Canis lupus familiaris: one gene and its partners. The protein of the gene in region 3 purifies or fractionates together with the protein of the main gene of each other region. This does not show direct contact. Links are inferred from orthologs where the notes say so. Each region holds a gene or a part of one and is shown on either strand. Other genes may lie near its edges. The genes, in order: FASN, SEPTIN9, HIF1A, HDAC4, CUL2 and LAMP2.

Region 1 (4,618 bases), on a different chromosome or scaffold from region 3:
GGTCTAGGGGCTGTTGTGACAGTGCTGGGGGCCAGCCTGGCATCCCCAGAACAGGTGTGACCCATCACGTCCCCATTCCTCGCAGATTGCCCTCATAGACCTGCTGACCTCCATGGGCCTGCGACCCGACGGCATCATCGGGCACTCCCTGGGGGAGGTGGCCTGCGGCTACGCAGATGGCTGCCTTTCTCAGGAGGAGGCCGTCCTCACTGCCTACTGGAGGGGCCAGTGCATCAAGGAGGCCAGCATCCCACCAGGGGCCATGGCAGCCGTGGGTAGGTGTCCCCTCTGGGCCCCCCCTTTCCACACCTCCCACCAACCCAGGAGCCCTTGGGGTGGGGGTGTCATCTCTGGCGTTCCTCGTGTTCACCCTGGGCAGTGGCCGGGGGTCTCGGGGAGCTCCATCGGCCACCGTCCTCACTGCAGGGTGCCCGGTGGCCCCCCCGGCCCCTGCCCACTCAGCGGTCAGCATCAGTCCACACTGCTGCTCTTCCTACCAACTGGGCTAAAGCCATGTGGGGCATGAACAGCACCCCTCCCCGCACTAGAAGATGTAGGGTGTCGGGTGCACTGGCCCTGGCCCCCTTCCATTGGCACCTGCCCCCCAGGGGCTGCAGGAGAAGCAGTAGGCTAGGCCGGGGACAGGAGGGACACCTCCCAGAGCCACCACCCCAGGGACTGGTTGGGGTGGGCTGTCCTCACTGCAGCAGGACCCGGCTCCCCGCCTGTGGGACGACAGGGGAGACACCTTCCCCCGAGATCAAACACGGCAGGAGTGAAAGTGCCCCATAAAGGCCCCGCTCGGCGGCTGTCATTACCGCACCCCTGTCATTAAGGCCTGCCCTGGGCAGCGCCTTCCTCTTGGTGGGGCCCTGGCTCCCCGCTGCCCGCCCCCTGAGGCCATCCCTGCCCACAGGCCTAACCTGGGAGGAGTGTAAACGGCGCTGTCCCCCTGGCGTTGTGCCCGCCTGCCACAACTCCGAAGACACAGTGACCATCTCGGGACCTCAGGTAGGCCCCAGGAGGCCAGGCTTGTCCCCGAGTCCCTTCCCGACCCTCACGGAGAGCTTTGTGTGGGGACCCAGGCAGATGGTCCGGCTCCACTCGTCCACTCCTGGCACCCCTGTCCCTAGGCTGAGGTGGCCGCGTTTCTGGAGGAGCTGAGGCAGGAGGGCGTGTTTGCCAAGGAGGTGCGCACGGGCGGCATGGCCTTCCACTCCTACTTCATGGAGTCCATCGCCCCCACGCTGCTGAAGGCCCTCAAGAAGGTGGGCTGGCCGCCCCACGGGGGACTTCCTGGAGGCGCGGGTGGGGGTTGAGTGCCCACACAGCTGACCATGCCGTGTGTGCAGGTGATCCGGGAGCCAAAGCCCCGCTCCGCACGCTGGCTCAGCACATCCATCCCCGAGGCCCAGTGGCAGGGCAGCCTGGCCCGCATGTGCTCGGCGGAGTACAGTGTCAACAACCTGGTGAGCCCCGTGCTGTTCCAGGAGGCGCTGTGCCACGTGCCTGAGCACGCCGTGGTGGTGGAGATCGCACCTCACGCCCTGCTGCAGGTGCGTCCCCGCGGGGCCCGGGGGCGGGAAGGGGCGGCGGGGGCCGGGGGGCTGAGGGAATGGGCCTCGGGAGGGTGGGAACCTGTGAGGAAGGCCAAGCCGTCTGCCCCCGCAGGCCGTCCTGAAGAGAGGCCTCAAGCCCAGCTGCGCCATCATCCCCCTGATGAAGAAGGAGCAGAAGGACAACCTGGAGTTCTTCCTCAGGAACACGGGCAAGCTGCATCTGCTGGGGTGGGTCAGCTGCCGCTGCCGGGGGCGGGGGCCTACGCCCGGCTTCTCCCGACGGTGAAGCCTGTTATCGGGGCCGCTCCGTGGCTGTGGGGTCATCCCCAGGAAGTGGGCTGGGGGTGCTGGGCCGCCCGAGCCCCGTGCTACGGCCCCCACCCCAATGGCGATCTGCGGGGTCCCATGGGAGGTGGTGGGCTGTGGGAATGACAGGATGGTCCCAGGCGAGGCCACCGGGGCCCGGTGTGTGCCTCACACCTCCCTGCCACCCCCCAGCATGGACGCCAACCCCAACGGCCTGTTCCCACCCATGGACTTCCCGGTTCCCCGGGGGACCCCTCTCATCTCCCCCCACATCAAGTGGGACCACAGTCAGATCTGGGACGTGCCTGCCGCCGAGGACTTCCCCAACGGCTCCACCGGCTCGTCCGCTGCCACCATCTGCAAGATTGGTGAGTGGGGCCAAGGGCAGTAGAGGGATCGGGCGAGGGTGCCGGTGGGCTTGGCTTCTCCCTCCTGGCCGCCGGCACTAAGGTCCAGCCCACACAGACACCAGCCCCGAGTCCCCTGACCACTACCTGGTGGACCACTGCATCGATGGCCGTGTCCTCTTCCCTGCCACCGGCTACCTGTGCCTGGCCTGGAAGATGCTGGCACGTGCCTTGAACCAAAACATGGAGGAGATGCCCGTGGTGTTTGAGGACGTGACGCTGCACCAGGCCACCATCTTGCCCAAGACCGGTGAGATGGGGTGGGCCACTGGGGTCAGGGTGGGGAGCCGACTGCTGAGCCCTGATGCTCATCTACTACCTTGCTGTCCACAGGGACCATGGCCCTAGAAGTGCGGCTTCTAGAGGCTTCCCAGAGCTTCGAGGTGTCTGAGAATGGCAACCTGATAGTGAGCGGTGAGCAGAGGGCGTCTGGCTGGGCTGCAGGGTCTGGTAGGGGCTGGCCTCTGAGTGGACCTCAGCCGCCAGCTCCTCTCTGCCCACCCTCAGACCCTTCTGCCCCCGACCCATAGGAAAGGTGTACCAGTGGGAGGACCCTGACCCCAAGCTGTTCGACCTCCATGGTGGCGCAGACCCCGTGGACCCCACGGACCCCACGGACCCCATGGCCGCGTTCCGCCTCACCCAGGGGGACGTGTACAAGGAGCTGCGGCTGCGTGGCTATGACTACGGCCCCCACTTTCAGGGCATCCTGGAGACCAACCTTGAAGGTAGGGCACCAAATGTCCGTTGATGCTCTGGGAACGAGCCTCGGGGCCGCCTCCCCTCAGGCAGGGCCTGACCTGCTGCCCAGAATCCAGGTGCCATGTGACTCCGGCGTCACCCAAGCTGTGAGGGGCCGCTGGGGGCACCCAGGCCAGGGCATGGAGGAGAGGGTGCCGTGAGCAAGAGAGACCCAGACCAGCCAAGCTGACAGCCCCTCTGCCACAGGCAAAGCCGGCCAGCTGCTGTGGAAGGACAACTGGGTGGTCTTCCTGGACGCCATGCTGCAGACGTCCATGCTGGGCAATCCACAGCGCACCCTGTGCCTGCCCACCCGCATCACCTCCATCCACATCGACCCCGCCCTTCACCAGCAGAAAGTGTACTCGCTGAAGGGCGATGCCCGAGGTAGGCCCACGCCCAGTCCCCGCAGGCCTGTGTCGCTGCGCCAGGTGCTGCCCATGCTCACCCACCTCTTTCCTCAGTGGTCGACGTGAAGGTGAGCAGCTGCCTGAACAGCACGGTAGCCGGCGGTGCCCTCATCTTGGGCCTGCACGCTTCTGTGGCCCCAAGACGGCAGCAGGAGCAGCATGCACCCATCCTAGAGAAGTTCTCCTTCACCCCCTACATGGAGGGAGGCGTCCTGGCTGGAAACGCAGCCCTGCAGGAGGAGCTGCAGCTGTGTAGGGGTGAGGCCAGCTCCCCACCTGCGCTCTGGCCCCTGACGCCTCTGGCAATGGGGGTGTTTCTCAGCTTCTCACCACACCCCCCGCGCTTTGCAGCGTCCTGCTGCTTCTGCGAGAGGCTCCCCATCTTGGGCAGGGGCTCTAGGCACAATGTTGGATTTGGTCCTTCCTCGCTACGTCCCCAGCCAGCCATCTGCGTGTGGTGCCACAGGGGCCTGGCCCTGCAGACTATCCCCTGCAAGGGCTCGTCCCGTCCCCATGCAGATGGGTGGATAGAACAGACTGGGGTGCCACGGGGGATGTCCAGCACTGAGCCCACACTACGTAGTTAGCCCTCCTCTGTGCCCCTGACACCCTGGAAGGGTAGTTCTTAGTCTTAGGGGACCAGGCTGCCCACCCCGTCTCTCCCATGCATTTGCTTATGCGGGGACAGGGCCAGGATGTGGGCCCTGGGAGGACAGTCACATGGGTCCTGGTTCTGGATGGATCCCTGCTCCAGGCAGACGTGCTGGGGGGAGTGCTGGCCCAGCTGAGACCCTCCCTAGCGCCCCTTTCTGCCCCCTCACCCCCCCAGGGCTGGCACAAGCACTGCAGACCAAGGTGGCCCAGCAGGGCCTGAAGATGGTGGTACCCGGGCTGGATGGGGCCCAGGTCCCCCGCGAGTTCCCACAGGGAGGCCTGCCTCAGTTGCTGGCCGCTGCCTGCCAGCTGCAGCTCAATGGCAACCTGCAGCTGGAGCTGGCCCAGCTCCTGGCCCAGCAGAGGTCCCTGCTGCACGATGATCCCCTGCTCTGCGGCCTTCTGGACTCCTCGGCGTTGAAGGCGTGCACGGACACCGCCCTGGAGAATATGACCAGTCTCAGGATGCACATAGTGGAGGTGGGTGTGCGGACCGCCTGGCGTGAGGTCACGGGGTTAGAAGCTGTGCCCAGGCTGCCCT
Region 2 (4,439 bases), on a different chromosome or scaffold from region 3:
GGCCCCCTGAAGGCCCCGAGAGGCCCCTGAATGAGGAGTGTAGGCAGTGGGGGAGCAGGCCTGGACAGCAGCTGGCCTGACCCCCCCCCCCCCAGGAGGACCTCCGAAGTCCGTTGGCCTAAAACACTGCCATGGAAATGAAGCAGAAAGTAGAAATTCTTCCTCTAGATGATGTCACCTGGGTGGGAAGGGGGCCAGGTTCTCCTCTCTGCAGCCTGGGTCCATTAGATTCAGGGCCTCAGGGGCCTTTGGTGCCAGGCATGGGGGCGGCGTCCCCCACTCCCATCCCAGTGTCCTCTGACCGCACTGCTTTGACCTAGCTGAGGCTCCTTGGTGTCCCCTGGGCGGCCACCCCTAAGCCTATAGAGCGGGGGTGGGGGTGGGGGTGGGGGGCTCCCGCTGTGGCACCAGGGGCTCCCCGCTTCTCAGCAGGTGGATGCATTCTAGGAATCTAGGAATGAAGTCAAGGGGAGGGACAAGGCTATCTCTTGGGGCCTCTAAGTTGGGGGGATGGGCTGTGGCTTCGGGGGGTGACCCCACCATGCTGGAAAGCCTGGCAGCAGAAGACACCGTCCCCCCCCCCCCCGCCCCGCCACTTTCCAGTCTGTCCTGAGGGCCTGGGCTGCAGGGGAGGGAAAACCCGAGCATAGGACCAGTGGGGTCGACCAGCACTCCAGCTCAGGCCCTGGCCCCAGGACCACTGGTCCTTGCCCCGCCCCCCCCACCTGGCCAATGGCCTGGGGCTTCTAGGTGGCAGCAAGGACATTCCAGTGTTGTCCCCTCTGAGTTCGCACCCAGCCCCTGCCCTTAGACTTGACACGGGGGGACGGGGGCACAAGCAGTGGGACGTTTGTGTTCTTGTGCCTCGGAGACGGCACCCACAACCCCGCCAGGCCTGGGCCCTGGCCCACCTACTGGCCCCTCCTGGGGGGGCCCCCTGAAAGCCAGGGGGTGGGGACTGGGGTCGGCCCCATCTTGTGACCTCCCTGTATCGTGGCCCTCCTTCCAGGACACACATGCAAAACATTAAGGACATTACCAGCACCATCCACTTCGAGGCCTACCGGGTGAAGCGCCTGCACGAAGGCAGCAGCGCCGTGTCCAACGGCGTCGACGAGAAGGGGCCCGAAGCCCAGGAGATGTAACCCACCCGCCCTGCCCCCGGGACCCTGCCCCCCAGTCCTCTCCAGCACCACCCCCAGGCCTGCCCACGTGCCCCGTCTTATTTTATATCATTTCCTCCGTTCGTCATCGTCCTCCGCCCCCTGACACGCTGCCGAGTAACGACACGCCGTGTGCCCTCCTGAGTATGCGTGTTATTAGCCGCTGACTCCGGGGCCTGGACCGGCCTGGGCTTCGGAGAGGCCGCGCCCCTCTGGCTGTCCCCGAGGTCTGGGGGGGGCAGGAGGGGCCCCCCCATTCCGCGTCAGTCCCCATCCCCAGGCGCAGCTCCCGGTCGCCACAGCCTCCGATCAGGACAGGGTGGTGTGGGGGGAGACCCGGAGCCCCCTCCCGCCCCCTCCCTGCACGGCCCCAGGCCCTAAGGGCCCTAACTCAGACCCGGAACTCAGAGAGCCCCCGCCCTTGCCCCACCCATCGGGAGAAGAGTTGATTCCATGAGATGCAAGTTGCCGATTGCTTAGACCCAGCAAGGCCCACTGGCTGCCTGCTGCCCGCCCCCCACCCCCCCACGAGCCCCCACGAGCCCCCACGAGCCCGTCCTGGAGCAGAAAGTGCCTTTATCTCAGCCGTCCACGAGCCAGCGTCCTTTCCCCCGCCGTCCCCTCCGCTGGAACTGGGGACAAGTCAGACAGAGAGAGGTGTGCCTCCATCTCTCCGTCGTCCCCCCTCCCCCCAGGATTTGATTGAGCCTTCAAGGGAAGGAAAAGGATGCACCCCACTCCAGCCCACCCCCATGATTCTGGGGAAGGTCCAAGCAAGTGAATCTGGTGGAGGAGATGAGGAGGAGGTGACTGCCGGAAGGAGGGGGCTGTGGGCCGAGCCTGGGCCTGTCAGAGCGGCCCTAGTGGCCCCGGTGTCTGCCCTGCATCGCCCCACAGAACTGGGAACTGGGAGAGAGTGTGTGTGTCCGTCTGTCTGTTTAGACACCTCTTTGGCCCAAGATGCTCTGGTTAAATTATGCCCAGGCGGCCACCCCAGGTACACATGCAGCCCTCCCGGGCCAGGCCTTGCTGACACCATGACCCCAGGAGCTTTTCATGGCCCTAAATGTGCCTGGGCTCCTGTGCCCCAGAGCCCATCGTAAAGACACCCCCACCCCGCAGAGAAGGAAAGGTCAGGAGTCAGGTGCACTTGGCCCATCGTCAGGCTGCAGACGGGATTTTCCAAGCAGGGCTGTGCCAGTCGCTCCTGGTCCTGCTCCTTCACCCTCTGTCTCCCCCGAGAGACCAGCAGGGACCCTCGCACAGCAGAGGGCAGGTGAGATGAGACCCAGGTGAGGTGCACGTCTGTCTGCACCCCCCGGGCCGGCTCACTGCAACCCGTGAGAACAGCAGTGGAGGAAGGGGGTGCAGAGAGGCCTGTGCAGAGGTGTGTGTGTACGCACACCTACGATATGCGTGCATCACGTGTTCTCTCCCCACCCAAGACAGGAAGGACCCCTCAGTGAAACCGTTGACTTGCCGACTTGCCGTGTTTTTGCCAAAACCAAGATTGCGAAGGACACCTCCACCTCCAGCGGCGGGGCGGGGGGCGAGGGGCGGCCTCCCCGGCCGGGTGGACTCGCTTTCCTTCTCTGTAGCCAGACCTTGAAAAAATTGTGACTTTCACTGGGATCTGTTCCGCAGTGGCCTTTTGCTATGTGCCTCCTGAGAAATTCGTCTTTTTGTATAAATAACAAAGTTGAAAATGTATTTCCTGAAATAAATGTCCGAAAGCAAACCTGGAAGGGGGGATGTGTTCCTCTTCCTGGCCCCGGAGGCGCGGCCTTCCTTGCAGAGGAAGCCGGCACCGGGGTGCTTGCTGGGTGTGGGGGGCTGTTTAATGGTGGCGGGGACGCCGGTTTCGGGGAATCCAGAAGCACTCGTTTCTCTGGAAAGCCAAGGGCAGAGCTTTCCTAATTTATTCACTGAAGGAGGCTTGGGAGGGTTTCCCACGGGGAGGCGCTGCCAGCTGCTTCTGTTCCTATATTGTTGGAAATAAAGTTTTTCTTCTTAAAATCCGCCCTATCAGATTGGACCCTATGAACTGGTCAGTATTTGACAGTATTTCCACACTGGCGAGTTTGTGCCTAGAGAACGGGGAGGAGACAGGTTCCGGAGGGTGCCGTGGGCAGGGGGCGTGAGCTCGAGCGTTCTGGACCCAAGCCCTTTGGCTTGAAACCACCGCGACCCCCAGGGTGCCTCTGGGTGTCCAGGGGATCTCTGGGGCTGCCTAAAACGACAAAAATACTCTCCCAGTGCTTTTTTTTTTCTTTTTTAAAATTTTATTTATTTAAGAGAGGCAGAGGGAGAAGCAGGTTCCCTGCGGGGAGCCCGGTGCTGGACTTGACCCCAGGACCCCGGGATCACGCCCTGAGCCGACCAGGTGCCCTATTCTGTGACTGTTCTGGAGGCCGAGAGCCCAAGATTGGGGTGTCGGCAGGCTATGCCTGGCTCTGGCCTCCTGCTCTGTGCTTTTGTCCTTGCAGACAAGAAACCGATTTCTTGCCCGATTTCTTGCCTGGCACTCCCATTGGGTTTGGGGCCCACCTTAATCCAGGGTGGCTTCATCCCGTCCTTACCTTGTATCTGGAAAGACGCTGTTTGCAAATAAGGCCACGTTCTGAGGTTCTGCAAGGACATGAATTCGGGGGAAGGTGGGTGCTGTTCCAGCCCAGGTGTCCCCTTCCCCCTCCATCTCTGGGCCTCAGGGACGAGGTGGCGGCAGGGGTGGCCGAGGTGGAAAGCAGAAGTCCCCGCACTGGGACTCAGATGATGTGGGTTCAAGGTTTGCTCTGCCGCCGACAGGCTGGGTGGCGTCAGGATTACCGCAGCCCCTCGGCTCCCCCCGCCCACCCCCTGCCCTCTCTGTGGGGCAGGTTGACTCCTTTTGCAGGAGGTAACTGGGTTTCCTGCCCGAATGAATCAATGGAGATGGACAGTGGCCACGTAGAGCCTCGGCTTCCAGGCTTCTGGGGTGTGTCACCCACAGCTGACATCTGCCGGGAGCACAGGAGGACAGGGTCCACCTGGGAGGGGGGCAGTTCCTTGACCCCGAAGCCCTGTTCCGCCTCCAGACTAAAACGGTCCCCATTTTCACCCCTGCTGGACATCCCTGTCCGGCAGCTGCTCTCTCTGGGCCGGACCCTCTCCAGGCCTTGACCTCAGCTCAGGAATCTGGCCCCTTCCTCCCGGGGGCTCACTTCCCGTGCCTCGCCGGCTGCCTGGCCCTGTGCTGCTGGTCCCTCACTCGCCAGCCCCACTGGACCAGGCCGGCTC
Region 3 (4,618 bases):
AAACTTATATTTAAGCCAAACACAAAGATGGGTCTGTTTTTCATCATTCCTCTTCAACGCTATCCTGCAGGTATCATTTTCTTGGCACCAAGGAAAATATGGCACCCTTCTTAGAAAGACCTTGGTCGTTTATCTATCTTTTTATTTTAGGACCATCTTTAGGTCATACCTCGTGCATCAGTCTCAAAGAATTCTTCTGTGTTGGTTTTATTACATGTGAATCAGCATAAAAATTGTGAGGATCTGTTTGTATCCTTCATGTACTTGACTATTACATTTCTTTGTCACCATCACTCTTCCCAAAGGGATATCTGAAGTTCTTGAATTTTTAGAGGTCTTTATTTCATATTGCTATTTTATACCCTGAATGTAACCAGGTATGCATGAGAGATTAGTATAAAGCATCTTAAAATGTTCCTTTTCATAAAGCAGAATTTTAAGAGACAGGTTATTTCAGTCACCCCCACCCTATTGTGTCAATGCTCATTTAAGAACTACTAATCTCTCTTTTTTGACAGTGGTATTATTCAGCACGACTTGATTTTCTCCCTTCAACAAACAGAATGTGTCCTCAAACCAGTTGAATCTTCAGATATGAAAATGACTCAGCTATTCACCAAAGTTGAATCAGAAGATACAAGTAGTCTCTTTGATAAGCTTAAAAAGGAACCTGATGCTTTAACTTTGCTGGCCCCAGCTGCTGGAGACACAATCATATCTTTAGATTTCGGCAGCAATGGTGGGTCTTTAGTTATTGTTTCGATTGCCTAAAAACTCTATCTGTTGCTGCAAGCCCATTTTAACTAAACTTGGACATGTTATTGTTGGTAATCATGTGAATATTGCAGTCTTACATATTTTGTTTTTCAATGTCTTTTTCAAAGTATTTGCTTAAATATGTTTGCCCCTGCAATTTTTAAGCATTCCTGCTTCTGTGTCATTGTTGTAAGTTGTGCTTCAAAGGGTTCTTAGGTCTTTCTTTTTCCTACTTGAATGTTTCTCAGCTACTCTTATTTCTATATCCTGTTGCCATATTTTCTCCACAGTGTAAAAATTATATTGCAGTAGGTGTAGTTCATTAAAGGATAATCAGTCATAACATAATATCAGACACTGAAAATGAAAATTGTAATTTCAAAGTTGGTTAAATTTTAATGAGTAGAAGGTATGAAAAGGTTGGAATTGCAGGGGATTTTTATGCCATAAATATAATAGGACCTGTCAACAGTAGATTGGAAAGACAATTCAGACTTAATGATTATACCATAATATCTGAAAACTTTCTGATTAAGGAAAATTTGGTAACACTCTTGTTTGAGTGAATTAGACCTTTTGTAAAAGGGGGCATATAATTCCCTATATGTTAAAATCTAGCCATTCTTTAAATTGATTAATAATTTTTCCCCTATAGACACAGAAACTGATGACCAACAACTTGAGGAAGTTCCGTTGTATAATGATGTAATGCTCCCCTCATCCAACGAAAAATTACAGAATATAAATTTGGCAATGTCTCCATTACCTGCTTCTGAAACTCCAAAGCCACTTCGAAGTAGTGCTGACCCGGCACTCAATCAAGAAGTTGCGTTAAAATTAGAGCCAAATCCAGAGTCACTGGAACTTTCTTTTACTATGCCCCAGATTCAAGATCAGCCAGCTAGTCCTTCTGATGGAAGCACTAGACAAAGTTCACCTGAGGTAGGTGTCATGATCTAAGAAGAGGATAACTTTCATATTTTAATTTTAGGAATGTATTTATAAAATGAATACAAAAAAAGTCTTGAATTTAGACATCCACAGAGAACAATGTGTGTGCCTGTAATTGCTACCCTCAAAGGTATATTACCCTATGAGTTGGAGAACTGTCAAGTAGCAAAAGGCTTATTTTAACTAAGCTTTTTAAAAGCGAAGGGACCCTAAGCTATTTGCCTAATTTAGCCCAATTTTCATCACTGTTTTGAAATCCTAGATAAGTATAATATGAAAATACCAAGTCTTAAACAGAGTAAATACCTAATAACTATTTTTTACTCAAGTTCTGTCTTGATAATAGTTTTTCTATAAACACAATGAAAATAGTTTTTAAGGGTTAGGCTGAGGCCAAGACTAAAGATGTCACATAGGGCTTTATTTCTAAATCTAGAACGATTCCATTTCAGAGCTTACTATGTCAAAAAATATGCTCAGGAGTAGTAAGGCAACTCAGACTTGAATATTATGACCATGAGGCACAAGTAAGTCTTAATAAGTGGTGAATAATTTTACATGTAATATTTATCAGTTCAAACTGGTGAGCTAAGAGTAGGAGATTTGACATCTATCTCACAGCCTTCCGGAAAATACAGTCTGTGCTGTAGTTGCTCAGCTTACCCAGCATAAAAATCTATTGATTTATTTTGTTTTTTTATCTAACAAAAGTAAATCTAACAAATGTTAAAATGAAGAAAGCAAAAGCTTATTCTTAGACTATGTAGTTACAAGTGACTGGTTAGAATCCTTGCTTGGAACCCCTAAAATAGTACTATATTCATTAAGGTGAATGTAAGTAAAAGAACTTACGTCCTCACCCCTACCCCACCCCCGAAACATGTGAGATTTTTAGGTACATCATCATGGAAGTTTGGCCTCTCAGGATAAAGGTAGATTCCAGTGAGTATATCATATCTAGTTATTGGCCAATTAGGTACCATGTGGGAGTTGAATTAGTAGATGAGTTTTATTCTTCAGAAGAAGCAGATGAATGTATCTTTTAGTCCTAATTTCATAAATGATGTTGTTACATAGAAATGTATAGTTATAAATGCAAGCTCTGAAGTTTAACTTGTCACTAGTTAGATAAAATGTGATAGAAGAAATGGACTTTGTTGTGTATTCTCTGAGGTCTGGCTTGAGAATTCTAACAACTAACAAAATATATGTAGGTTTCCTCAGGGAAAAGTAAACACATTGAATTCCTTTTACAGCCCAACAGTCCCAGTGAATATTGTTTTGATGTGGATAGTGATATGGTCAATGAATTTAAGCTTGAATTGGTAGAGAAACTTTTTGCTGAAGACACAGAAGCAAAGAATCCATTTTCCACCCAGGTATATGAACTTGTTTATTATATTTTCTATTAAACTTTATTAATTTTTAGCTTGAAGTGATTTTGGGGTTAACTTTTCTTTTATACGATGTGGCCATTGTAAAACTCATGTACTTGTTGCTTTAAAGGACACTGATTTAGACTTGGAGATGTTAGCTCCTTATATCCCAATGGATGATGACTTCCAGTTACGTTCCTTCGATCAGTTGTCACCACTGGAAAGCAATTCTACAAGTCCTCAAAGTGCGAGCACAATTACAGTATTCCAGCCGACTCCAATGCAAGAACCTCCTCTTACTACTACCAGTACCACTGCTACCACTGATGAATTAAAAACAGTGACAAAAGATGGCATAGAAGACATTAAAATATTGATTGCAGCTCCATCTCCTACCCATGTACCTAAAGTAACTACTAGTGCCACAACATCACCATACAGTGATACTGGAAGTCGGACAGCCTCACCAAACAGAGCAGGAAAAGGAGTAATAGAACAGACGGAAAAATCTCATCCAAGAAGCCCTAACGTGTTATCTGTCACTTTGAGTCAAAGGTATTTATATATAACACTAACGTTACAGCTCTTTTATTAAAATGTATGTAGGGTTAATTATGTCTAAACATAACTAACTTTCTGGTAAATATGCTTTAAGAATATTAAATTGACATACAAATTCTGATAAAACAAGCACTCAAAAAAATGTTTCTAAATTAACTTGTGTATTTATTTTCTTGAAAATAACCACATCACCTATCTAAATGTAGGAGGTAGGAGGGTCTTCCAGTACCTTTAAAAAAATAATGCGGCCAATAAGTTCTTAAATGTACAAAAATTGGCCCAATTACTTGTAGCTAAGTAAATCAGACTAGTTAACCATCTTCACTGTTTCTGTCTCTTTGAGTTATTTTAAAGCTTACTTGAATAAAAGACCTTCCAACTTAAGGGTATTTCCAATTCCCCATTTCAAATTGAGCCTGATAGTCTTCAATCCTCAGTATTTAATACAGGTATTTATTTACAAGCCTTCTTTTAAAATTTATGTATAATTGCTTTTATTTTTCATTACATATTTATAGAACATTAGCTATATTATAGGTTAAATAAATGTTTAAAAGCTACAACAAGAATCTAAGCATGATTTATGATGTTGCTTTTATGGAGTTAGTTTGAGCAAATACCTTTATACCACCCAAATTTTAAGTTACAATTTCTATATATAATTTTTTAAGTTGTATTTTTTTATAAGTTTATTTTTTATTGATGTTCAATTTGCCAACATATAGAATAACACCCAGTGCTCATCCCATCAAGTGCCCCCCTCAGTGCCCTTCACTCAATCACCCCCACCCCCTGCCCACCTCCCCTTCAACCACCCCCAGTTCGTTTCCCAGAGTTAGGAGTCTCTCATGTTCTGTCTCCCTCCCTGATATTTCCCACTCATTTTTTTCTCCTTTCCCCTTTATTCCCTTTCACTATTTTTTATATTCCCCAAATGAATGAGACCATATAATGTTTGTCCTTCTCCAATTAAC
Region 4 (4,618 bases), on a different chromosome or scaffold from region 3:
CCGGTGCTGGCCCGAGTCCTGTGTGTCCATTCTCTCCGGCCCTCCCGGGGGTGTGCAGCCCCTGACCAGCCCCTCCGCCCTCTTTCCTTGTTTCTCCGTTTAAATGCACCGATTCGACACCATTCCTGTTGTTTCACGTGGTCCCTGTTCGCGTGGCCTCTCCTGCTTCTCGCTTCCCGCCGCTCAGACCACCGCCTGGGATCACTGTGCCTTCTGCACACCCCACATGTTTCCCGGGAGGGACGCGGTGTCAGCTTCCCCACGTCGCAATTTTATCCTCATTCTTTTTTTTTTTTCTTTAAAAGAAGACTCCACGCCCAGCCCCGAGCCCAGCGTGGGGGTGAACTCTCGACCCTGAGATCTCGACCTGAGCTGAGATCAAGGGTCCGACGAGCCCCCGGCCGCCCCGCCCTCGGTGTTGACTGACCGGCTCACCGTCCTGGGCTGACAGCCCTTGTCTCTGGGGCTTTGACGGCCACGCCCTGTCCTGTCCTGTCCTTGGCCGTGTCCCCCCCCCCCCCCCCCCCCCCGTCCCCTGCTCTGCGGCTGCGCCCTGACGGACCCAGGCAGGCAGGTGCTTCAGGCATGACTCTTCCTGCCCGGGTCCCGTCCCCTCTCCCCCTGCCCCGGGACACCGAGCAGACGGACCCAACCCGCTCGCTCCCCTCGTCCCCGGCGCATTCAGGGTCATTGCTGCCGCGGCTGTGATTTCATTCACAGACGTTCTCCTGGGCCGGCTTTAAATCGTCCGCTTCGGTTCAGTAATCCTGCGTCCGTATCTTACTTCTGATACTCACTGATACTCACTAATCATTTACCTTGTAGTTTAAAACTGATCATTTCAGTGACCGTGGTCTTTGAGGATCTAAACCTGCCGTTTTTTTACTAGACTTCTAACTCCGGGCAGCGCTGGCTCGGATGCTTTGCCTCGGTGCCGCGTGACCGCGTGGGCCTGGGTCCCAGCCTGGGTCGCCCGCGTGAGAACGTCCCCAGGTCCACCCGCCCTCCCACGGCCGCCCTTGCCGTGTCGGGGCCCCGCCCAGGACCCCACTGTGCGTCCAACCGTTCGTGCCCGCGCCCTCTCAGGCTGCCCTGGGTTGTCATTTTTGGAGTATTGACAGTTGTCAGCAATCAGGCACGGCTCGCGGCTATGCTGCAGAAGAGCCCTCGTGCTCGTCCTGTTTTCCCTTGTGCTGGAAGCGGGGCGGGGGACCCGGGCGCAGTGCCCTCCTCTGTCCGGGCCCGTGCCGGGCGCGCAGCTTCTCTCTGGGGACGTGAACCGCGAGCGCTTGCGTAGAGCAGCGTCGGCCGCCTTCCCCGTCGAGCCGGCTTCTCCCCCCTTCCATGCGGCCCGTTGCAGGGAGGCCGGGGCCGCGGCTCGGCTCCTGCCCGAGGAGACAGGGTGGAGGTCGGAAGGGGCTAGGCGACAGCTGTCGGGGAGGGGCTGGGTACCCGAGGCATCTCAGATGCTTCTCAAGGAACGCGTGTCTCCTCCCGGTACGTGTTCGGGCACTGACTCCCCCCCGCACGGCCGCTGGCCCCTCCAGCCCGAGTCTCCGCCCCTCCGCGTGGCCGTCCCCCGCCTGGGAAGCCGCGCTTGCCCCAGAGCCTGGGTCCTCTGCCCGAGACCCCCCTTGTCTCTCCTGAGCCCCGCCCGCGCCGGCTGACTCCCGTGTTTCATGATGTGTGCGGCCGGGGACTCAGCCCTTGGAACCCAACTGGCCACACTGGCGGGCGGCCCGCAGGGGGCCAGGCGCCTCCCGAGAGGGTGCACGGCTGCTCCGCACATCGCGGCCCTCTGCTGACGGTGGAACCTGCCCATTCCCAGGGAGACCCTGGCCCGTCCCTGCCCGCAGAGCCCAGGGTCAGAACAGACCCCCCCACCGGTTGTCCCTGCGGGCAGCTCGGGGCGCGTGGGGGGCCGTGGCCGTTGTCGTGCAGGCCTGTCCCGGGATGCGTGACCGCCCTGGGCAGCTTCCAGCTTCCTTCCGGAACCCAGCAGATCTCCCCCAGTTTTGTAGGCTTGTCTAGTAATTTAAAGATCTTTAAAATTACTTTTGTGTTTTCATGATGTATCCCCGTGAGCGTGCTTAGGTGTCGTGTGGAGGACGCCCGGTGTCCCCTGCGGCTTCCGTCCCGTCCTCTGCCGTCCACACCGACCGGAAAACTGGGAGCACAGGCCCCCCTCAGAGATTCCCCTCACTTTCTTCTTTCTTTTACCTTTTCCCCCATTTTTGGAAGAACACCATCGACAGGATGGCCAAGCATTCTTACGTGTAAGACTAGGGATGTGAAAGTGGTATTTCCAGAAAGCAGTCATTGTTTCCCTAGTGTTACGGGGTGGTGTAGACGGGGTCTCAGTGGGTTCCAAGCAGACGTCCTTGCCCGCCAGCCCGCTCCTGGATGCGGTGTCCGCTCAGCCGGGAGCTCACGAGCACACTTGACGGTCTCCCGAGAAGAATACCTCAAAGAAAATAAATCCACTTCCGTTTTTAAAAAAATTGTACAGGGGATGCCCAGGTGGCTCAGCGGCTTAGCGCCTACCTTCAGCCGAGGGCATGACCCCGGGGTCCCGGGATCGAGTCCCACATCGGGCTCCCTGCATGGGGCCTGCTTCTCCTTCTGCCTGTGTCTCTGCCTCTCTCTCTCTCTCTCTCTCTCTGTGTGTGTGTGTGTATGTGTGTCTCGCGAATAAATAAATAAAATCTTTAAAAAATAATGATAATAAAAAATAAAAAAAGTCGTACAGTAAATAGCAAAGCCACATTTGGCTGCTGCTGCTTTTCTGCCCGTAAATACACTCAAGAAACCGACGCTGACTTCAAACCTCCCTGAACAGAACACGTGCAGGGATTATGTCGACATCCGTCACGTTTACTGTGTATTTGTATATTTTTTTCTAGCTTGATCCTCTCCCAGAAAAGGTTTTACAGCAGAGACCCAACGCTAACGCTGTCCGGTCCATGGAGAAAGTCATTGAGATCCACAGTGAGTTGTGTGGGCCACGTGCTCGGCGGGGAGCCCCAGGGGTGAGGGATGACCCAGGTCACTGAGGTCGCGGTGTAGGCGGGTCTCCCGGTGCTCCCCAGATGCAGGTCCCCACCAGCCGCCCCTGCTGACGAGCCCCCGTGTGTGCGAGCAAACACCGAGCGGCCGGCCCCCACACGCTCCCCTGGCGCTGCGGCCCCCTCGTCTCCTCCCCCTCGCGCCGGGCCGTCCTGTGCTCCGCTCTCTGGAGTCGGGGGCAGCCCCGCTCTCACGGCCCCCCCATCCCCCCAGCCGGTGCCCCTGCCTCGGGGAGGACTCGACTCCAGGAGCCCCGCCTTTGCGAGCCCGTAGCCTGGGTGCTGCCTGGCTTCCTCTCCTGCAACAGGTGCTTTTAAAGGTGCCAGTGAGGAGTCAGGCTTGAGCCGGGGGAGGCCCAGTAACCCAGCCCCCTCCCGCCCCCCCCACGCAGGCCAGTACTGGCGCTCCCTGCCGCGCCTCTGCTCCACGGTGGGGCACTCTCTGGTAGAGGCCCAGAAGTGCGAGAACGAGGAAGCCGAGACTGTCACCGCCATGGCCTCGCTGTCCGTGGGCGTGAAGCCCGCCGAGAAGAGGTGAGCGCCTCCGCCCCCACCCCCGGCGGGCCCTTCTGCCTGCGGGACCACCCTCTGCAGGCACCCAGGCCTCTGCTGTCCTGTGGGCATGTGCCTTCTCTACTGGGCCCTGCCTCCTGCTTGGGCATCCCAGGGAGGGATGGTCGGGTGTGGGGGGAGGGATGGGGGGATGGACGGGAGAGGGATGCAAGGATGGAGGGGGAAGGATGGAGGGATGCGGGGGGAGGGATGGAGGGATGGAGGGGGAAGGTCTATGGGGATGGAGGGGGAAAGATGGAGGGATGCAGGGGGAAGGGATGCAGGGATGGAGGGGGGAGGGATGTAGGGATGGGGGAAAGATGGAGGGATGCAGGGGAGAGGGATGGAGAGGGGGAAGGATGCACGGGGGAATGAGGGGAGAGGGATGCAGGGGGAAGGGATGGAAGGATAGAGGGGGAAGGATGCAGGGATGGAGTGGAGAGGGATGCAGGGGGAGGGATGGGGCAGGGCTGCAGGGATGGAGGGGGAGAGATACAGGGGTGGAGGAGGGCGGGGAGGGATGGCGGGTTGGCAGGCAGGTGCCGGGCCCCACGGTGGACGCGGGCTGCAGGGCCTCCTCTTTCCAGGGTGAAAGGCCCGTGGGAACCCTCGAAGAGCCTTCGCTCTGGGGCAGGGGCGGGGGGTGCAGGGGCGGGCGGCCCTCCGGGTGGCCCTGGCCTCACGCCGCGGCCCTCTGTCTCTCGCCCGGCGCCGCCGCAGACCCGACGAGGAGCCCATGGAAGAGGAGCCGCCCCTGTAGCCGCCCGCCGAGCTGCGGGTCTCTTGTTTGTTTGTCCCCGTCTTGAAGCTCCGCCAAGAGCGGCTCCCGTTTGTGTGCGGCCTGCCCGCGTCCGCGAGCGAGCGCGGCTGGAGCAGCAGCGGGAGGCCTCTGCCCGACGGGGCGGCCCAGCGCGGACCGGGACCCACGCCGGCCGAGCAGACGCACAGACACACGCGAGGCCGGGCTCTCGGCTCCCTCGACGGAGGCCGCGGAGGAAGGA
Region 5 (4,618 bases), on a different chromosome or scaffold from region 3:
TATTTTGGTGAAGTTAATAGCCTACTATTTCTGTCATCAGTTCACTTAATTAATGATATATATTTTTAAAGATTTATTTATTTGGGGGGTGGCAGGAGAGGCAGAGGGAGAAGAGAATCCTAAGCAGATTCCCTGCTGAATGTGGAGCCCAACACAGGTCTCAATCTCATAACCCTGAGATCATGACCTGAGCTGAAACCAAGAGTCAGACGCTTAACCAACTATACCCTCCAAGCGCCCCTGCTGGATGATATTTTGTAGCCTATAATTAAATAGTTTTAAATGGCATATATTTTGAAATTCAAATCAAGCTTTTCTTAATACTGAGAAATTAATTTTTGATTTCAGAATCTTAACAAAATATTAAATTCTTAATATTAAGATTTTAATTGAGTCAATCATTAAGCATGAATTTTTAAGCTTATAACCTAAAAAGTTTAAGTTTATAAGCTAAATTAAGTACTTAAGACATTATGTATTTTCTAAAATGTATTATTTTTGCTGCCCGGGAATGTACAAAATATAGATGATTGCTTGTTTGCACATAAATTTTAACTATGAATCTGCTGTTCCTTAGCAGAACTTCTTAGCTTATTATTGAGAATGAATTCATTTGCTAAGTGCTTTTTGATCTTGCTAATGGAGAAAACACCATGTGTGATCAGAGTGGCTTTCATAAGCTTGATAGTTGTGATTATAAAAATTGACTTAACAACTTTCACTTGAAAAGAGGCCACGTGCTTCTGGCAGACAGTAAAACATGAATTCGAGGGTAAACTTCATAAGAACCATACTAAAGCCGTGTATGCCACTGGACACTACTTGTTTCTGTTGTCGGGTTATTTATAATACGTATACGTATTTTCTTATTGCAGCACTTTAAAAGACATTTGGTTGCTCACTTTTTCAAAATAGGGTGACATAAATTATGAGCCTAGTAGTTCATAAGAATTAAAGTGTTAAAAAAAAAGAATTAAAGTGTTAAATTCTGTTTAAGACAATTTGACTCTTTATCCGATGGTTATATATATTAGTTGGGCCATAGCTTATTTCTAAATCTAAACAGATTAAAATTCAAGTATAAAATTAGAAAAGAATTGATATTTGCTTCTTTCTTTATTTTACAGAAGACAGTTGTTTTTCTCTTAAATAATCTTTATAATGTAAAATGATGAGCGTTTAGTCTTGCTTGGTCATTTAATTTTATGATATTTTATTTGCAGCAACTCTTATTTAATTGTTTTAATTTTTATAAATATACATGCATTATTTTCAATTATAGGAAGACATTGATACAGAATCTTCATTTTCATTAAATATGAACTTTAGCAGTAAAAGAACAAAATTTAAAATTACTACATCGATGCAGAAAGACACACCACAGGTGAGTGATTTTTAATGTCATTTCTTTGGGAAATATTTAAACATTGGACTTCACAAGCGGTAACTGAGATAATGGAAAACTTTGCACATCAAAATTAATAATGTGATGCCTTTTTTATGATTTATTCTTTGAGCTTACTAAACCTTGCAAACCAAACCTCTGCCAGTATTTTAGATTATAAAAATAATAGATATCTAAGAGTAATGTATAATATAATAGATATCTAAGGGAAAAGGTATTGCAGTATAGTCATACTTTTAGACTATATTAAAATGCAGAGCATTGCTTTGCATTCTTCACAGAAATTCCTATTTATTTTTAAAGATGTTATTTATTAACTTGAGAAAGAGACAGAGAGAGCACAAGCAGGGGGAGAGGCAGACTCTCCCCGGAGCAGGGAACCCTATGCGGGGCTCAGTCCCAGGACCCTGAGATTATAACCTGAGCCGAAGGCAGATGCTTCACCATTTGAGTTACCCAGTGCCCCCAAAATTCCTACCTTAAGTAGTAATATAATCTCATATTTTTTATTTGTAAAATAAGGGAAAGCTTTATAACATTCTTTCAGAGAAGTTGTTGGAAGTATTTCTCAAAATTTCATGTGCAAATGAACCACTTGGGGTCTTGTTGATACTCAAATTGTAATCTAATAGGTCAGGAGTGGAGTTCAGACTACCAGATGAGCCATTTTGCAAGGTGAACATCTGCTGTTGATTCTTTTAACCCAGTAATGATTAATGCTTTGCTCTGGGATAGCCTATTAAGGTCACTTAAAGTTTCTTGATTGTCTTTGCCCTATCCTTGGGCATGGGGCAGGATATAAAATTATATAAGATGTCAGGCCCTCTATAGGAACTTACATCCCCTTGGGGAGACAGATGTTAGTTAATTGTTAAATTTGAACCCTAAAAAAATTGAACCCTAAAATGTTTGAGATCCCATTTTTCTCTAGACTAATGAATAATAATTTGTAATATGTAGATTGTATTTTATCTTTTATTTTTTAAAATATTTTATTTATTTGAGGGGGGCAGAGGGAGAGTATCTCAAGCAAAAGTCTTGAAAATTACTGCTGTGTTCTACTTTATTGCCTATTTACATTAAATACATTCTATTATACTGTTAATTTTTTTTTAAATAACCTTCCAACTTTAACCCAAGAAATTATAAATAACTCACTGTAGATATTCCTTTAGTAATGATTATGTGATAATGATAATGGGCATTTGATAGCTGTATAACTTGAAGCTCGGTATCAAGTGGAAATTTATGTAAACTCAGTGACAAAATGAATTATGAAAGGTTCAATGACTTACTGTGTCGTTTGCTTTTTTTTTCCCCCCTGTGAAACAGGAAATGGAGCAGACTAGAAGTGCTGTAGATGAGGACCGAAAAATGTATCTCCAGGCTGCTATAGTTCGTATCATGAAAGCACGGAAAGTACTTCGGCATAATGCCCTTATTCAAGAGGTAAAAGGAGGGGAAGCCCTGAGGGCTTTTGGGGATAATGGATATTATCAATGAATAGATTAGGAATGTTTCTTTGTCAGAGTGGTACATACATAATAGGATTCCCAAATAGCATAAAGAAATGCTTTATTACTTAATGAGAACAGTACTTAGAATTTCTGTATTCAGGTTTGCTTTGGCTTAGATTTAGAGGTCTAAGGTTCACCAGGATTTTGAGCCTTCTGTCCAGTTATTGAAAGAAATTCACTACTTCAAATATTCATTCCATAAATATCTGAGTGTCTACATGTGATGGAGTGCCTTGATAGTCATTAGGGATGTGATGCAGAGCAACCCATGATGTGGATCCTGCCCTTTTGGAATTCACCATCTAATAGAAAAGAAACACATTATTGAAATAGTATGGAAGCAAAATATAAAATTACATTAACAATGCACTGAAAAAGAGCTACAGTAGTATGAGAATGTGCACAAAAATACTGACTTAGAAAAAAAAAAAGTACTGACTTAGGGGATGTTGGCGAAAGGTGTGTTTTTTTGTTTTTTGTTTTTTTAAGATTTTATTTATTCATGAGAGACAGAGAGAAGGCAGAGGGAGAAATAGGCTCCTCGCAGGGAGCCCAATGTGGGACTCAATCCTGGAACTTGGGATCGTGCCTTGAGCCGAAGGCAGACGCTCAACCGCTGAGCCACCCAGGCGTCCCTGGAGAAAGCTTTGAGAAAGTGTTAGTTCAACTAGGCACTGGAGTGTGAAGGTTAAACAGAAAATGGAGTGTGTGTCTGTGTATTTAGATAGATTGATTAATTTATAGTTTAATTTATGTATGAATATTATTGGATTTTGCTATATCTGTGTTCTGCTTTGTAATTCCTTCACAACAGAAACATTAGGCTTTTTCCTTATTTTGCATTAAATTTTTTTTGTCATCAACATTGATCTAATTGTTTCCTCTCCTTGGGCACTGTCATGTGAGCTTAAAATTTTAATACTGTTCATGGTGTTCACTTGCTTGATGTATCACATACGTCCATGTAGGATGATTTTATTCATTTTAATGAACATGATTTCATAACTAAGTATATTTTTCCCATGTGGATTAGGTCTGTTTGATGGAACCTCTATACATTTGGGGCACTTCACAGCTATTGGTTAAAAATAATTATTTATAACTGACTACTTGGCAGTAGTTTGACATCTGTGTCTCTCTTACACAGGTGATTAGCCAGTCAAGAGCTAGGTTTAATCCTAGTATCAGCATGATTAAGAAGTGTATTGAAGTTCTGATAGACAAACAGTACATCGAACGCAGCCAAGCGTCAGCAGATGAATACAGTTATGTAGCGTGATGTCGTTCTCCTCTAGTGTGGGTGTAAGAAGATCATTGCCATCACCATTTGGTGTGTTCCTGTGGGAAAAAGCAGGCCTGTGCCTCCATAATTTGGTCATTTGGCAGCCCCTGTTTTTCTGCTGTTTACAACATCACCAGTGCCACGTCATGAGCGTCCGAGAAAATGCCTAGAGATATTTCAAGCTCATGTCATTATGACATTTCTTAAAACTTTATTAAAAGAATGAGTGAAGTATTGCTGAAATGTGGAAATTTGGTTGGGTACCATGCTTTTTCTCCCCTTCACGTTTGCAGTTGGTGTGTTGTTTTTTTTTTTTTTTTTTTTTAATGTATCTTAAAGGACATAAAATAAAAAACTTAAATATTGTAATATGACAGATAACCTAATAATTGTATCTACATTAAAATGACAAAC
Region 6 (5,365 bases), on a different chromosome or scaffold from region 3:
GGAGCTCTGTTTTTTAGTGTTTCTCAAAGTGTAGTCCAGGAACCAGAGAAATTAGAATTATCAGGGGTGTTTGTTCAAAAAACAATTTCCAAGGACAGCCATAGACCTACCGTTTCCGAATCTCTGTGGGATGAAGTATAGGAGTCTGTATGATATTAAAACTCGGGGATGCCTGAGTGGCTCAGCAGTTAAGCACCTGCCCCTGGCTCAGGATGTGACCCGTGGTCTCAGGATCGAGTCCCACATCGGGCTCCCTGCCTGGAGCCTGCTTCTCTCTCTGCCTATGTCTCTGTCTTTGTCTCTGTCTTTCTCTCTCTCTCCTCTCTCTCTCTCTCTGTGTGTCTTTCATAAATAAATAAAATCTTAAAAAAATATATTAAAACTCCCTAGATGATTCTTTCGGACACTAACATTTGAGAATTAGTGCTTTATCCCAACTTGAGATTTTTATAGTTTTTGAATGCTTTCATTTGTTGACTGAGGTTTCATCTGTTCACCTGTCAAGCATACCAAATAGTATGTCTAGTATGAGTTCATTAAAGCATATTCACATGTGGATATGCACAGGAAAAACAAGTGGAAGGATAGATTTTCTTTCTGTGTTTAAAGAAGATTCTGGGCAGTGGCGACGGCGGCGGTGAGAGGATGAACAACAAGTTCGACGCATTGAAAGATGATGACAGTGGGGACCATGATCAGAATGAAGAAAACAGCACACAGAAAGATGGTGAGAAGGAAAAAACGGAACGAGACAAAAGTCAGGGCAGCAGTAAGAGGAAGGCTGTTGTCCCTGGGCCAGCAGAGCATCCCCTGCAGTACAACTATACTTTCTGGTACTCCAGAAGAACCCCTGGCCGTCCCACCAGCTCACAGAGCTATGAACAGAATATCAAACAGATCGGCTCCTTTGCCTCTGTGGAACAGTTCTGGAGGTTTTATAGCCACATGGTACGTCCTGGGGACCTGACAGGCCACAGTGACTTCCATCTCTTCAAAGAAGGAATTAAGCCCATGTGGGAGGATGATGCAAATAAAAATGGTGGCAAGTGGATTATTCGACTGCGGAAGGGCTTGGCATCCCGTTGCTGGGAGAATCTCATCCTGGCCATGTTGGGGGAACAGTTCATGGTTGGGGAGGAGATCTGTGGGGCTGTGGGTCTCTGTCCGGTTTCAGGAGGACATTATTTCAATATGGAATAAGACTGCCAGTGACCAAGCAACCACAGCCCGCATCCGGGATACCCTTCGGCGAGTGCTTAACCTACCTCCCAACACCATTATGGAGTACAAAACCCACACCGACAGCATCAAAATGCCAGGCAGGCTGGGCCCCCAAAGGCTCCTTTTTCAAAACCTCTGGAAGCCGCGGTTGAATGTGCCATGACCCTCTCCCTCTCTGGATGGCACCATCATTGAAGCTGGCATCATCGGAGTCTCTTGTTCTGTTGGCGTGCTACCTGGAAGATCCTTCTGTCCTGGACAAGAGGAATTGGAAGAGCATTTTATGTTTTAAGAACAGGCTGATATACAGCAGCTACAACAACAGCTGAGATCACTTAATAAATGGTGCTAAACTAAAAAAAAAAAAAATAAAGAAGATTCTTCCTCTTTCTGAGTTGAATTTCTCCATCTGAAAAATAGGGTATTGCAATTAGGCGAACCTCAAGGCCGTCCTGCTCTGGCTGTCCGCGACACCAGGCTACCCACCCGCTCCCTTGTCCATTTAATCACATGAACTGCAGGGGCATATGAAACACGTCTTATGGAACAGGCGTTCGTAGAATAATTCCGTGTTATTAGTGTTCATATTACGTTATGATGCTTAGCAATCTTTTTAATCCAGCAGAATTATTCTCTTCTTCCTCAATGAGTTGGAACTGAAATAAACTCTACTACCTACACCCCGCGAAAAGTTAATCCTCTCTCTTATTAAGCCTTAGAAAGAGCCGTCCGCACCTATCTCTTGGGCGCAGAAGAAGGACTGTGAACCAAAAAGCCAGGGCGTGGTCGCCCCGCCCACCGACTCCTGCATCACCTCCCCTCGCGCCGCTTTCCAGCGAGGCGATTGGCTAAGCGCAAGAAAGGGCCCCGCCCCAAGTCTTATGACCCGCACCGAGGCGGCGCGTCCTGGCGTTTGCAGTGCCGCGCTCGGTGGTCCGCGGTCCTCCCGCCCGGTGTCGGCGAGCCCCTTCCCGGGTGTTGCTGTGCCGTTGCCACCGCCCCCTCCCGCCCCGCCGCCGCCCCCCCGCTTGGCGGAATCATGGTGTGCTTCCGCCTGTCCCCGGCTCCGGGCTCGGGGCTCGTTCTGCTCTGCCTTGTCCTGGGTGAGTTGTCGGGCCCTCCTGCTCCGTCCGTCAGCCTGGGCCCGGGGAGCCCAGTGCCAAGGCCACAGGCCGCAAGCCTGGTCCGGGGGAAGGGAGCGTGGGGCAGGCCGCGCGGCTGACCCTGGGCGGCGGCGCTTGGCCCGGGGAGGCGAGCCGTGACCTACGGAAGGCCTGACCGAGAGATGGCGGGGAAGAAGGGCCCGTGAGAGGGGGACGGGGCAAGCCAGCCGGGTGGGCGCCCAGGGAGTAGGGGGGGAAGAGTGGGGAGTGGAGCAGCCCTGGGGAGGAAGAGTAACTTGGGGAAGAGACTAAAAAGAGTGAGTCTAGGAGGGACGTACGGGCGATTCTGGGGTGGCAGAGACCATTGGGAGACTCCTGGTTTCTTAGGATCTGGGTAGAGTTTTGAAGATGGTGGAAAATTATGGGGTGGGAGCGAAAATTGGGGAGAGAAGGGAACCGCCTTCGCCTGCGCGCAGAGCCTTGGGGGAATGGTGGGGAGTTAGGGGCGCTTATGACCGTAGAGTCTGGGGGACAGTGAGAGGGCCGGGGGGCGTTGTGTGGGTGGAAATTTGAGGCCGTGGAGGAAGGGTGATGAGAGAGATGAGGACCGCTGCCGGATTTGAGTTTGGTGGTTGGGAGTTTTGAGGGGTAGGGACCTAAGGTGACCCCGGGGCAATTAACAGGCGAGAAAACTCGGACCTAACCTCTGGAGACTAAAGGGATGAGGGGGAACTTTGGCGGGGAGTGATCTGACTTGGAGGTGCTGAAGATGTCGCTTTTCTACCAGTTTTGCTACTTCCTCCCAGCCAGATACTGATTAAGAACAAGCAGGCAAACCAACTTAAAGCCTTAAAAAACAAAAAAACAAAAAAACCAAAAACCAGAAACCTCCGGGTATTTCAGCTGGGAGGGCCTCCCAGATGTGCGGTTTTGGGGGTGGAGTATTGAGTCGTGTATACTGCCTCTGCCTTCCGAAGCTCGTTTTCTTCTCAGTGACACAACTGGCCTTTTACTTCATTTTTGGAGGAGGAGGATAGGTGACTTGCCAAAGACTGGGTTGTTACCAAGTCATAAGAAAGGCTGGATGAATGTTGGCTGATTGTATTATCCCCCCCTCCCCCAAAGATCACTGGGTCCCTGAGGGCTGTAATGCCTGAAAGGTGAACTTTGACCAGAGTGTCTCTTCCTGACCTGATTCATCCTGTGCTTGTTGCTATCCACCAGCTTGCTGTTTGTGACCAAATAAAAGAAAGGGGGAACAAACCCAGGTGGTGGGGGTGGTGGTGGAGGGAGGGGAGGGAGTAGGCTTATTAAGGGTCCGAAAGGGCAGTGAGAGGTACACAGTCTGTAATTCTCATTTCAGTAGAATAAAATCAGCACCCTAAAATAGTGGATTCTCAAACTGGGAACATTTGGCACTATCTGGAGACATTTTTGGTTGTCGCAACAGGAGATTGCTTTTGGCATCTAGCGGGTAGAGGCTGGGGATGCTGCTAAACATCCTACGGGGCATAGCATAGTGCCCCCATCCCCCAACAAAGAATTTTACACCTCAAAATGTCAGAAGTGCTAGAGTTGAGCAATCTTGCCCCAGAGTGAGAGTGCTGGAAGGGTGGGTTCTTGATGATCTAATCTAGTGCTTCTCAAGGATCTTTTTGAGGAGGTACCTGTCAGATAAAAACTTATTTCTAAAATAATACTAAGAAGTTATTTGTTTCTTTCACTCACACTCTCACCAGTGTACAGTGGAGTTTTCCAGAGGCTACACAATGTGTGATGACATCACCACCACTCTCATGGCTCTGATGTTGTATTTTAGTCACTTCTTATTTTTTATTTCGAATATGGCAAATACCGACAGATATAACGCACGTAAACCAATGTGAATAAGAGAGTAAAGGGTCCTGACACCAGACGTTTCAGACTCCCCAATCTAGTGCAGCTGTGCACATAGGGCAGGAGACACCCCTGTAGCCCTTCTGAAAGGAAGCCTTGGAGACTTTGCTCAAACACAGTTCGAAGCTGTTGTTAACACTGCTGCCAGGCACTTACTGAGGGGCCAGCGACCCTAAGAGAGGATTGTTTACAACGAAAAGCACCTTATCAGTGGCTAGAACTCATCTGACCAACGCATCTGTTAATCAGTAGTTCACTGCCAATTGAATCTGCACAAACAACCCGGTTATTGTTCAGAGAAAGTGAAAAAAAAAATAATAATTGTCCTACTTGTTGGCTTTCGTGTCATTAGATTTTTTTTGTTGTTTCTTTTTTTATGAAAGCTTTTTTGTTTTGTTTTTACAAAAGCTATGCTTGCTCATTGCAGAAAATAAACAAGCAAGAAGAAGCACATGAAAGAACCCGTCAGCTCATCTGCTAGTTTGCCATTTATTGATCTGGACTAACTAGATTCGTCTTCTTGGAAGAGTTCCAAGATCGATTTCCTCCACTTCCAGGTTTAGAACAGGGTTTGGGGGGAGTAAAAGTTCATAATGTACCTAGATTAGATTTTTAGAAGGTATCAGTGAACTAGAAATCCTCTCTTCTCCTGGGCTGCTTTTCCTGACAGTTGTTGGTTCAGTGCGGAACTCAGGTTCCTTCCATGTGGTTTTCTCTCTTAAGAATCGAGCTGGTCTTCAGTTGCCTGGTGGGGTTGGCACGTCACTTTTCATATATCAAAATACCAAGAATGGGTTTTTAAAAACTCAATAAATATTTGTAAAGTACCTGTTGTGAATCTTGTGCTGCTGTTCTGGGTACCAGTGAAGAGGGATCTGCCCTGGATTTATAGTCTCATTAGCTTGAGTGCTCAAGCTGTGCCAGTTTCACTTTGTAACTTTATAACTATCCTAGCTCCACGGAAACTTTTTAAAAATAGCTACTTTAGGGCAAGTATAGGAAAGAGTTCTTAGGAGTTATGTATTGGTCCTTTTCACAGAGATTAAGTCATGCTCCTCATTTGAATGAATTATAACTGACTAGAGAACTTTCTGAAGAAAAGCGATACGATTTTTCCAAAGCTCTACAGATGCATTATAAAGAGA

The links.
Region 1: the proteins of HIF1A (region 3) and FASN purify together in Homo sapiens (affinity purification with western blotting; 3 studies listed by BioGRID and IntAct, with this or other methods). This does not show direct contact. The link is inferred for Canis lupus familiaris from reciprocal best matches to the Homo sapiens genes HIF1A and FASN.
Region 2: the proteins of HIF1A (region 3) and SEPTIN9 purify together in Homo sapiens (affinity purification with western blotting; 4 studies listed by BioGRID and IntAct, with this or other methods). This does not show direct contact. The link is inferred for Canis lupus familiaris from reciprocal best matches to the Homo sapiens genes HIF1A and SEPTIN9.
Region 4: the proteins of HIF1A (region 3) and HDAC4 purify together in Homo sapiens (affinity purification with western blotting; 4 studies listed by BioGRID and IntAct, with this or other methods). This does not show direct contact. The link is inferred for Canis lupus familiaris from reciprocal best matches to the Homo sapiens genes HIF1A and HDAC4.
Region 5: the proteins of HIF1A (region 3) and CUL2 purify together in Homo sapiens (affinity purification with western blotting; 7 studies listed by BioGRID and IntAct, with this or other methods). This does not show direct contact. The link is inferred for Canis lupus familiaris from reciprocal best matches to the Homo sapiens genes HIF1A and CUL2.
Region 6: the proteins of HIF1A (region 3) and LAMP2 purify together in Homo sapiens (affinity purification with western blotting; 3 studies listed by BioGRID). This does not show direct contact. The link is inferred for Canis lupus familiaris from reciprocal best matches to the Homo sapiens genes HIF1A and LAMP2.

Annotation. Positions count from the first base shown.
Region 1 is NC_049230.1:1,062,465-1,067,082, forward strand, and holds part of FASN (fatty acid synthase), read left to right. Parts: intron 1-85; coding exon 86-275; intron 276-916; coding exon 917-1,011; intron 1,012-1,133; coding exon 1,134-1,268; intron 1,269-1,352; coding exon 1,353-1,556; intron 1,557-1,671; coding exon 1,672-1,787; intron 1,788-2,057; coding exon 2,058-2,233; intron 2,234-2,330; coding exon 2,331-2,522; intron 2,523-2,605; coding exon 2,606-2,686; intron 2,687-2,802; coding exon 2,803-3,000; intron 3,001-3,220; coding exon 3,221-3,400; intron 3,401-3,477; coding exon 3,478-3,681; intron 3,682-4,252; coding exon 4,253-4,557; intron 4,558-4,618. UniProt on the Homo sapiens protein: Fatty acid synthetase is a multifunctional enzyme that catalyzes the de novo biosynthesis of long-chain saturated fatty acids starting from acetyl-CoA and malonyl-CoA in the presence of NADPH.
Region 2 is NC_049230.1:4,399,175-4,403,613, reverse strand, and holds the end of SEPTIN9 (septin-9), read left to right. Parts: intron 1-1,009; coding exon 1,010-1,145; 3' UTR 1,146-3,188; downstream 3,189-4,439.
Region 3 is NC_049229.1:36,930,454-36,935,071, forward strand, and holds part of HIF1A (hypoxia-inducible factor 1-alpha), read left to right. Parts: intron 1-518; coding exon 519-739; intron 740-1,411; coding exon 1,412-1,698; intron 1,699-2,963; coding exon 2,964-3,086; intron 3,087-3,213; coding exon 3,214-3,638; intron 3,639-4,618.
Region 4 is NC_049246.1:49,601,578-49,606,195, reverse strand, and holds part of HDAC4 (histone deacetylase 4), read left to right. Parts: intron 1-2,903; coding exon 2,904-2,988; intron 2,989-3,457; coding exon 3,458-3,599; intron 3,600-4,337; coding exon 4,338-4,377; 3' UTR 4,378-4,618. UniProt on the Homo sapiens protein: Responsible for the deacetylation of lysine residues on the N-terminal part of the core histones (H2A, H2B, H3 and H4).
Region 5 is NC_049223.1:2,210,034-2,214,651, forward strand, and holds part of CUL2 (cullin-2), read left to right. Parts: intron 1-1,282; coding exon 1,283-1,384; intron 1,385-2,737; coding exon 2,738-2,854; intron 2,855-4,069; coding exon 4,070-4,201; 3' UTR 4,202-4,618.
Region 6 is NC_049260.1:93,174,489-93,179,853, reverse strand, and holds the start of LAMP2 (lysosome-associated membrane glycoprotein 2), read left to right. Parts: upstream 1-2,098; 5' UTR 2,099-2,260; coding exon 2,261-2,324; intron 2,325-5,365. UniProt on the Homo sapiens protein: Lysosomal membrane glycoprotein which plays an important role in lysosome biogenesis, lysosomal pH regulation and autophagy.